Arabidopsis thaliana: one gene and its partner. The protein of the gene in region 2 interacts with the protein of the main gene of each other region in a pairwise test. Each region holds a gene or a part of one and is shown on either strand. Other genes may lie near its edges.

What was found.
Region 1: the proteins of RCAR3 (region 2) and AT5G51910 interact in binary tests that used the Arabidopsis thaliana proteins (3 or more experiments, as listed by UniProt).

The regions. Positions count from the first base shown.
Region 1 is NC_003076.8:21,094,015-21,097,615, reverse strand, and holds AT5G51910 (TCP family transcription factor), read left to right. Parts: upstream 1-1,724; 5' UTR 1,725-1,807; intron 1,808-1,913; exon of another isoform or gene 1,914-2,008; 5' UTR 2,009-2,030; coding exon 2,031-2,912; 3' UTR 2,913-3,050; downstream 3,051-3,601. Other genes in the region: AT5G51920 (Pyridoxal phosphate (PLP)-dependent transferases superfamily protein), read left to right, coding at 1-414; AT5G51900 (Cytochrome P450 family protein), read left to right, coding at 3,162-3,601.
Region 2 is NC_003076.8:21,558,697-21,563,253, reverse strand, and holds RCAR3 (regulatory components of ABA receptor 3), read right to left. Parts: upstream 2,654-4,557; 5' UTR 2,229-2,653; coding exon 2,091-2,228; intron 1,810-2,090; coding exon 1,594-1,809; coding exon of another isoform or gene 1,514-1,593; coding exon 1,301-1,513; 3' UTR 545-1,300; downstream 1-544. Other genes in the region: FTSH11 (FTSH protease 11), read left to right, coding at 82-231. UniProt on the Arabidopsis thaliana protein: Receptor for abscisic acid (ABA) required for ABA-mediated responses such as stomatal closure and germination inhibition.

The DNA.
Region 1 (3,601 bases), 460 kb from region 2:
TCAACAACTAGTCGTCTAGTTAAAATCTACGGTCCGAAAGTTAATTTCAATCGAGGACCAGCGGTTGCGTTCAATCTATTCAACCATAAAGGCGAAAAAATCGAACCTTTTATCGTGCAGAAGTTAGCCGAATGCAGCAACATCTCACTCGGTAAAAGTTTCTTGAAGAACATCTTGTTCCAAGAAGACTACGAAGGCGTGAAAGATAGAGTTTTTGAGAAGAAAAGAAACAGAGACGTCGACGAACCAAGGATCTCTGTTCTCACTGCTGCGTTAGGGTTTCTTGCTAATTTCGAAGATGTTTATAAACTTTGGATATTCGTTGCTCGGTTTTTGGATTCAGAGTTTGTTGATAAAGAGAGTGTGAGATGTGGAGTTCATGTTTTTGAACATAAGAACCGTGAAGTAGTCTAGTTAACATATAGCCTAGTTTTGGCTCGGTTTGCTTTGGTTCACTTCTTACATCAGAACCGGTTCAAGTATCAATGAAAATTTTGATTTTTGTTCAGTACAAAGTCAGCGTCAACATTAGCGTCCAAGTAGCACCTCTATCTCCCACTAATTTTGATTTTGCTACTGATTCAAAAAAAAATAATTAACTTTCGAAAAAAGGTAGCTCATATATATTTATTTACAATTCGCTCATTCCTAGATGTCAAGTAGATATGAACGGGGCAAATGAATGCCCAATAACTAAAATAAACCCATATCAGCTATATATTTCTTCGGTTGTTAAAAATTTTGATTTTATAAAATTTATTGCACAAATGATTTTCTAGATGTTATTTTTATTTTTATTTTTAGTATGATAAATACTAAATTTCAAAATGCAATGATTGAAAATAATTAAACTTTTAATTTTATTAGCTCATAATTAAACTTAAAAATATTTAATATAAAAAATGTTAATGATTAGATAATGTTTTTTTTTTAATATGTGAAAAAATCCCAAACATCAATCTATTATAAAAATATGGAATAATACTTTTATTTAATCTATTTTTTTAGTAGTCAACATCAAAAGATTATTACAAATGACCAATGTTGATAATTTTAACTTATAAATATAGTATTAAATAATGAATAGTGAATTGTTTTCTTTTTGGCGGGTGAAACCTTATTTCCAAGCTTCATACTCTAGTCTTCGAGAGTCATGCTTAGTAATTGACATTTTTTGTTGCCATCATTTCTTATAAAGCTTACCCTAAGCTTGCAAGAATATTTACCGAGTAGTTTGGAATCTTGGTGTTGTAAATCATGCACTATTTGTTTTACTACGCAGTTCCAATCTTCTCGTGGGGACCAAAGTTTTTCAACCTTGTATACAACAAAATCAACAAGGGATTAGGTACACCAAATTGGTTTTTACGAAAACAGTAACATGCTATCAAAATAGAGACTAGTCGTTTTGGTGATAGAATTCAGACCAAGACAATAATGGTTTTACTTGTCAATAATACTCAGAAATGAACATAAGCTGCACTTGTCAATAGTACTCAGTTTTGAGATAGCTAAGTTTTGTATTGCCCTAGTTATGGCTCGGTTTTGTCCAATTCGGTTGGTTTGGTTCACTTCTTAAATGGAAACCGGTTCAACTGTACAACTATCAATAAAAAAAAAAAAATTAGCTCCACAACATGACTCTTGTGATGTGGTCGAGGCCAAGGCCCATTAGTTAGCTAAAACAGGCCCATATGAAGTATGTGATCTAGACCGTTGATTTGTAATGGGACTATATAAAAATAAAAACGATGATCTTGAGGGCCCCTTCTTCCATCTTTGTAGGGTTCTTCGTGCAGAGGATAAGGTTAGCTGTGGTTTTTTAATTTTATTTTTCTACCTTTGTAGGGTTTCCTCACTTTTTTTTATCCACTGTTCTTTAGTTTTCAATCTGTCAAATTCAAACAGATAACATTTTTCGTCAAAAGAATCAGTAAAAACTAAACATTTTGACTATATCCTACTTGAATCAATTCTTCGGCTGATTTTGAAGTTTTGTGACATTCAGATATTCTAGGGTTTTGTGGTAAATGGAATCGAATCACGAAGGCAACGCGATACAAGTGATTGACCAAGTAACAACCATGACCCATCTGTCTGACCCGAATCCGAAAACCAAACCGGGTATGATGCTCATGAAACAAGAAGACGGGTATTTGCAGCCGGTGAAGACTAAACCGGCTCCGAAGAGACCGACTTCTAAAGACCGTCACACGAAAGTAGAAGGACGAGGTCGGAGGATCCGAATGCCGGCGGGTTGCGCTGCTCGGGTCTTTCAATTGACCCGTGAACTTGGTCACAAATCCGACGGAGAAACGATACGGTGGTTATTGGAACGAGCTGAACCGGCGATAATTGAAGCAACCGGAACCGGAACTGTACCGGCTATTGCTGTATCGGTTAACGGAACTTTAAAAATCCCGACGAGCTCTCCAGTGTTGAATGACGGCGGCCGTGACGGTGACGGTGACCTAATAAAGAAACGGAGGAAGAGAAACTGTACGAGCGATTTCGTAGACGTTAATGACAGCTGTCATAGCTCCGTTACTTCTGGGTTAGCTCCGATAACGGCGTCAAACTACGGCGTTAATATCCTGAACGTTAATACACAGGGGTTTGTGCCGTTTTGGCCTATGGGTATGGGTACTGCGTTTGTTACTGGTGGGCCGGATCAAATGGGCCAAATGTGGGCTATTCCTACCGTTGCTACAGCTCCGTTTCTGAATGTTGGTGCTAGACCGGTGTCTAGTTATGTCTCAAACGCTTCAGACGCTGAGGCGGAGATGGAAACGAGCGGTGGCGGAACGACGCAACCGCTGAGGGATTTTTCGTTGGAGATTTATGATAAGAGAGAGCTTCAGTTTTTGGGTGGCTCAGGGAACTCATCTCCGTCTTCATGTCATGAGACTTAAGGAATTTTAACTCTTAGTTCTAGTTTCTTTTTAGTTTTTAGTAAGTTTGATTCCTGATTTAGGTTAAGTAAGATTTGTAAAAGAATTGGGAGCACAATTTCAATTTTATGTTTCTGTCAAACATTTTGGTAATTAATGGAACTATCCTATCATTTTTAAAAAATAAATCAAAATGAGATTAAAAATGAGTCTGCTAAAACGCCAGAGGTTGAGTCTGCTAAAGCTCTCGACACAATAGTAGAAGGAATAATGTATAGGCACGTTAAACCTAGATTCTCGTGGAAGCTACAAAGCTGGATCGGAGTTGGGATGGAGAAGAAGATGATAGAAGCTGGTGCCATTTTTGATCGAGTGTGTGGGAAATACATATCAGCCAGGAGAGAAGAGGTAAAAAGATCACAAGTGAATAATAATGATCATTTCATTAGAGATAGTCATGCAAATCTTTTGACATCTCACATAAAGCTTGATACAACCCAGTACCAGCTCTTGGATCCTATCAATGATAAATTCTTAAGAGACAATGTCTTTGCTTTACTTCTAGCTGGGAGAGATACCACTGCCTCTGCTCTCACTTGGTTCTTTTGGTTTTTGTCCGAAAACCCTCTAGTGGTGACCAAGATTCGCCAAGAGATTGACATGAATCTACCAAGAAGTTGTAGTGGCCAAGAGAGACCATCTTGTGATCC
Region 2 (4,557 bases):
TTTTTTACTGGATCAAAATTGTTTAATCTCACTTCGATTTTGTGTGTGTGTGTGTGTGTGTGTGTGTGTGTGTTTCCCCAGCATGAGAAGCAGCTACACACGTTAGCAAACGCACTTCTAGAGTATGAAACGCTAACCGCAGAGGACATAAAGCGTATTCTCCTTCCAAAGCAGGAAGGCGAGAAATTTGAAGAGCAACAACAAGAAGAAGGAGACTTGGTATTGGCCTAATCACATCATTCATTACCATAAACACACTTCTTTGGGTGAAAAAGGGAGATTCAAAGCTTTGTACAGAGTAAATCTCCCATAGCTTCTACAACAACAACCAAAAGAAAAACATATGAAATTATTGATCTCATGTTACAAAATTATTGTAGTTTTTATTTCATTAGCTCATTAGTTTTCGCTTCGACCTTGAACCTTTTGCCCTTTTTGACATTCTGTTCAATTCTATGAAGAAAAATGTAAAACAACATTGAAAAGAAAGTAATAATTGTTGTCTTTATTCTCTGATGTGATTTTGAAAGCCAATGAATCTTATTGCAGCTTACAAGGTCCTCTGATGAAATTACATGTATTGTTTGGAACAAAATTGAAAGAAAACATATAGAAGCAATTCTAATGATACCACCTGTCAATGTGACCGATTCGAATATTTATCCACTACTGTAATTTAGGAAAAAAGAAACAGAAACACTTTGGCATTGTAAAAATAGTATACAAAACTTTTTACAGCTAATGGAGCTAAAGTGTGTTTCCCCAATCACAAGTCAAGACAAAATCTATAAACAACAACAAAGATCTCTTTCCTTAATGGTCCTTTGTGGAGATTTTTCACATCTCACAAACCCTATTGGTTCATCTTTAAAAGTAGAAAAAATAAATATAAGAAAGACGGTGTGTGGCCTTTATGGGTGCAACTAAAAGTGTTAAAAAAGGAAGAAGAGAGTGGAACCCCATGATCACACACACTTTTAACATGTCTTCTCTGCAAATTGTAAAAAGATTCCTGCAAGTTGCTAAAGCTAAACTCCAAAATCATATTTTGGTTCTATAGAGAAGAAACCAAAAACACATTCATTAAATTAGACACATGAAATTAAAAAGAGGGTTTGAAAGTGAAATGACCCCAAAAATAGCAAATGAGAAACTTATTATGTAACTGGATAAATGATGATACTTTTTTTGCCTTGTCCATCCTCAAAGAAACTCACCCACTCTCTCTTTTTCCCTTTGAGAGCTTCATCCATGGCAACCAAAATCTCTCTGATTCAATAGTTTCTTACTCCTTTGATCTTTAGACTCTCGATTCTGTCGTGTCTTGAACCGCAAGACGTTCAGAGATATCAGCTAAAGATTTAAGATTGCATTTGATTAAAGCTTCAACAAAGTAACAAGTCTCATCCTTTGTGTTTCCTTCTGGTACATCAACCACAAATGACTCAATCACAAGTGTTCCTATTCTTCCTTCTATAGTCTCGGGGTGAAGAGAGATGATTGAAGAATAGTTCTAAATCCAAAAACAATATAGAACATATAAGTCTTTGATTCACTGTAAACAGAAAACGAACCTTTTGATTCATTGATTACCTTAAGTCTATGATCACCACCAACGATTCTGATACTGAGAATATGCTCATTGTCATCAAGTAACTCCAATCTCTCAGTGCTTCTAGTTGCTGGTAGTCCAGATTTCACATCAACTTCTCTTACTGTACCAATCTCCATGTTTCCTTTCACCACACATCTACTGATAAACGGCTTATACTTCTGTGGCTGATCAAATCTTCTCACAAGTGACCACACCTATTCACCAGAGAGATTCAAACTAATCCATAAGCGTTTTTGGGAGCTTTTTTTTCCAATAAAGCAAAACCAGATCAAACAAACTCAGATTGGGATTACACAAATGCTATGTAAGCTTTCAATAATTAGAAACCAATCGATTCTTCATCAGTAAGATCAACAATCGATGAAAATAGAGAGAGATTTCAAATTCTGGATTGAATCAACAATAAGAAGAACCGATTAACTTAAACAGAGAAAATCAGAGCGCATGAAGGAAGAAGAAGAAGGGAGAAGCTTACAATATGAACAGGAGCGTTGATATGTTTAACAAGCGTAGAGCTACACTGATTATCCACAAGCTCATGCTTATGATGTCTCCTTATAAACTCTCTTTCCTGATTCGGATTCGTCAAGTTCTCAATCCCGTTAGCTTCCATCTTCTTCCTCCGTCTTAAGCCACGGTTTCTCAATACCTCCGCGTCGGATACGACAAACAAACAAAAAACAAGGCCAAATTCGTCGCGCAGAAGAGAGTGAAAAGCAGCACAACAAAGGAAAAGATAAGATTGAGCTGAGAATCGTAAGAGATCTGATCTCAGAGAGAAGTTTTTTTCCGGCGAGATCTTCCGATGAAAGCGTTACTGTGAAGAAATGATAGATTATACAGTCGCCGTCTTTGGAGGGAGATAAGAAGAAGATGAGAGAAAGAGAAAGAGAGAGAGAGAGAGACGAATCCTCCAACAAACTTTTTTTCTCTCTCCTTTTTATAATATTTAAATAAAAAGACTCAGTGAGAGATTTTTATAAAAAAAAAGAAAAAGATTGATTGGATGGTATTGGACTAAAGGAGTAAAGGTCTTTCTCTGATTTCACTACTCTCATTGGATGCTTTCTTCTATTATCCCACTATTTTCTCTTTATTTTCGATTTTGCCCCTCGTTGTCGTTTTTCTGTGTTTTATTTACCGTTTTTAGTTTTACCCCTCAAGTGTGGTAATTATTTAATGTTGATCCTTAAAGTATTGTTTAAGCCTATGAGAGCTGACTCAATTATTGGATAGTTTTTTTTTTTTTTTTCTTGGGTGCTTTTTCATTTGGATAAAAGACTTGTTTTGACAAAAAAAAAAAAGGATTAAAGATTTTGAAATGGTTATAGATTTTTTGAAATTGTTTATGGCTTAAGTTTTTTCCAAAAATCTACTTTATAGCCAATTAAGATTGGGAGAAATGGTTTTCCTTATAAAAATAAGGAATCTAGATTTTTAAAGGAAATCTAAAATCTATGTTTCATTGGTTTTTCACTTTTTAACGCTATAACTTTTTCATATTTAGTTTCAAATATATATATATATATATATATATATATATATATATATATATATATATATAATTAATGCAAAAATCTAAAAACTATAAACCAAATCCAAAAACCACTTAATAACTTGCAAACTGTTTTCTTTTGTTAATGTGTACTTATATTTTAGGTTTTCTTGTTATTGGGATTATAGTATTAGTGGTGTACTGTAAAATGTTTGTGTATGTGTGTGTATATAGTAGAATGAATTCGATCAGATCAGCATATAGTTCGTGTACTTGACTGTGATCAGACTCAAAGAACAATTCAAATTGTCGAAAATATACTAATTTAAATTGATGAAAATACTACAAAATTTCAGAGAGATTGTTATAATGCAAACCAAACATAGGGCTTAACCAGATTATGCTCGTTAACCTTTAGCTGAAGAAGAGATAGTACACATATTATACGGATGGTCACATTACTAGGTGCATGGAGGTATATTGATGTCCCAATTAGACATATAATCACTAGTTAAAAGTGTGCTTAACACCCCCGAGCCAGACCATGATCAATGCAGATTCGGGGCCTTTGAAGCAAACTACAAAGGACCAAATCTTTTTTTAGGATTAGAACGACAAATCAGGTACTAAGTACAAATTACAAGAACTTCTTTAGGTATATGATAAAAATAGTAAACATCTATTATTCCAAGTATTAAAAATAGCTAAAATTTAATGATTATACATGCACTGCAGTTATTATGGTTATCATCCAAATTTTATTCTAACCATTTAACATCGATTGTTTCGTACGTTTTGTCAGTTCCATACCAATGATTTGTATTATGTTCTCTTTGTTTCGTCTAATCCGGTTTTCTGCATCATCACCAATTCCAGTATTCACTCTCATTCGACTCATAATATGAAGTAAAAGTTCGTAAACTATTAAGTTGGACTTCGCTTTATTTTTTCGCATTCTGACAATAGTATCTTGTTTTGATCATTTACAGTATAATATTAGTATCTTATAACCACTAAGGCCAGAATAGTAAGTATATAGTTTGATCATTTAATTTACACAATCCTTTATCCAAAAAATATATTGTATACAGTATCATATATAGGGTTTGCTTCACAGTCTTAACTTTTCCTGACTCGAAGAGCCAATCTCGAGAGAGCAAAAGGTCCCACGTGCTTTATCCAACACTCTTTATTAAATCCTGAATAAAAGTATCTCAAAGTGACAAAGATTTCTATAACATAAAAAGGTTTGGCTCTTATAAGTCATATCTAGAAAAAGAAAATTCGTTGCTAACTTTGTAACGTGCTAAAGTATTCTCGAAAATACTACTACCTCAAGATTAAAGTACACAAAAAAAAAAAATTGGATACCCATAGTTTCTTTTTAAGATTGGGCTTGGAGCTTGCAGGTGGGCTCTCAGGAATGTATATCGGAGATTTTGAGTGT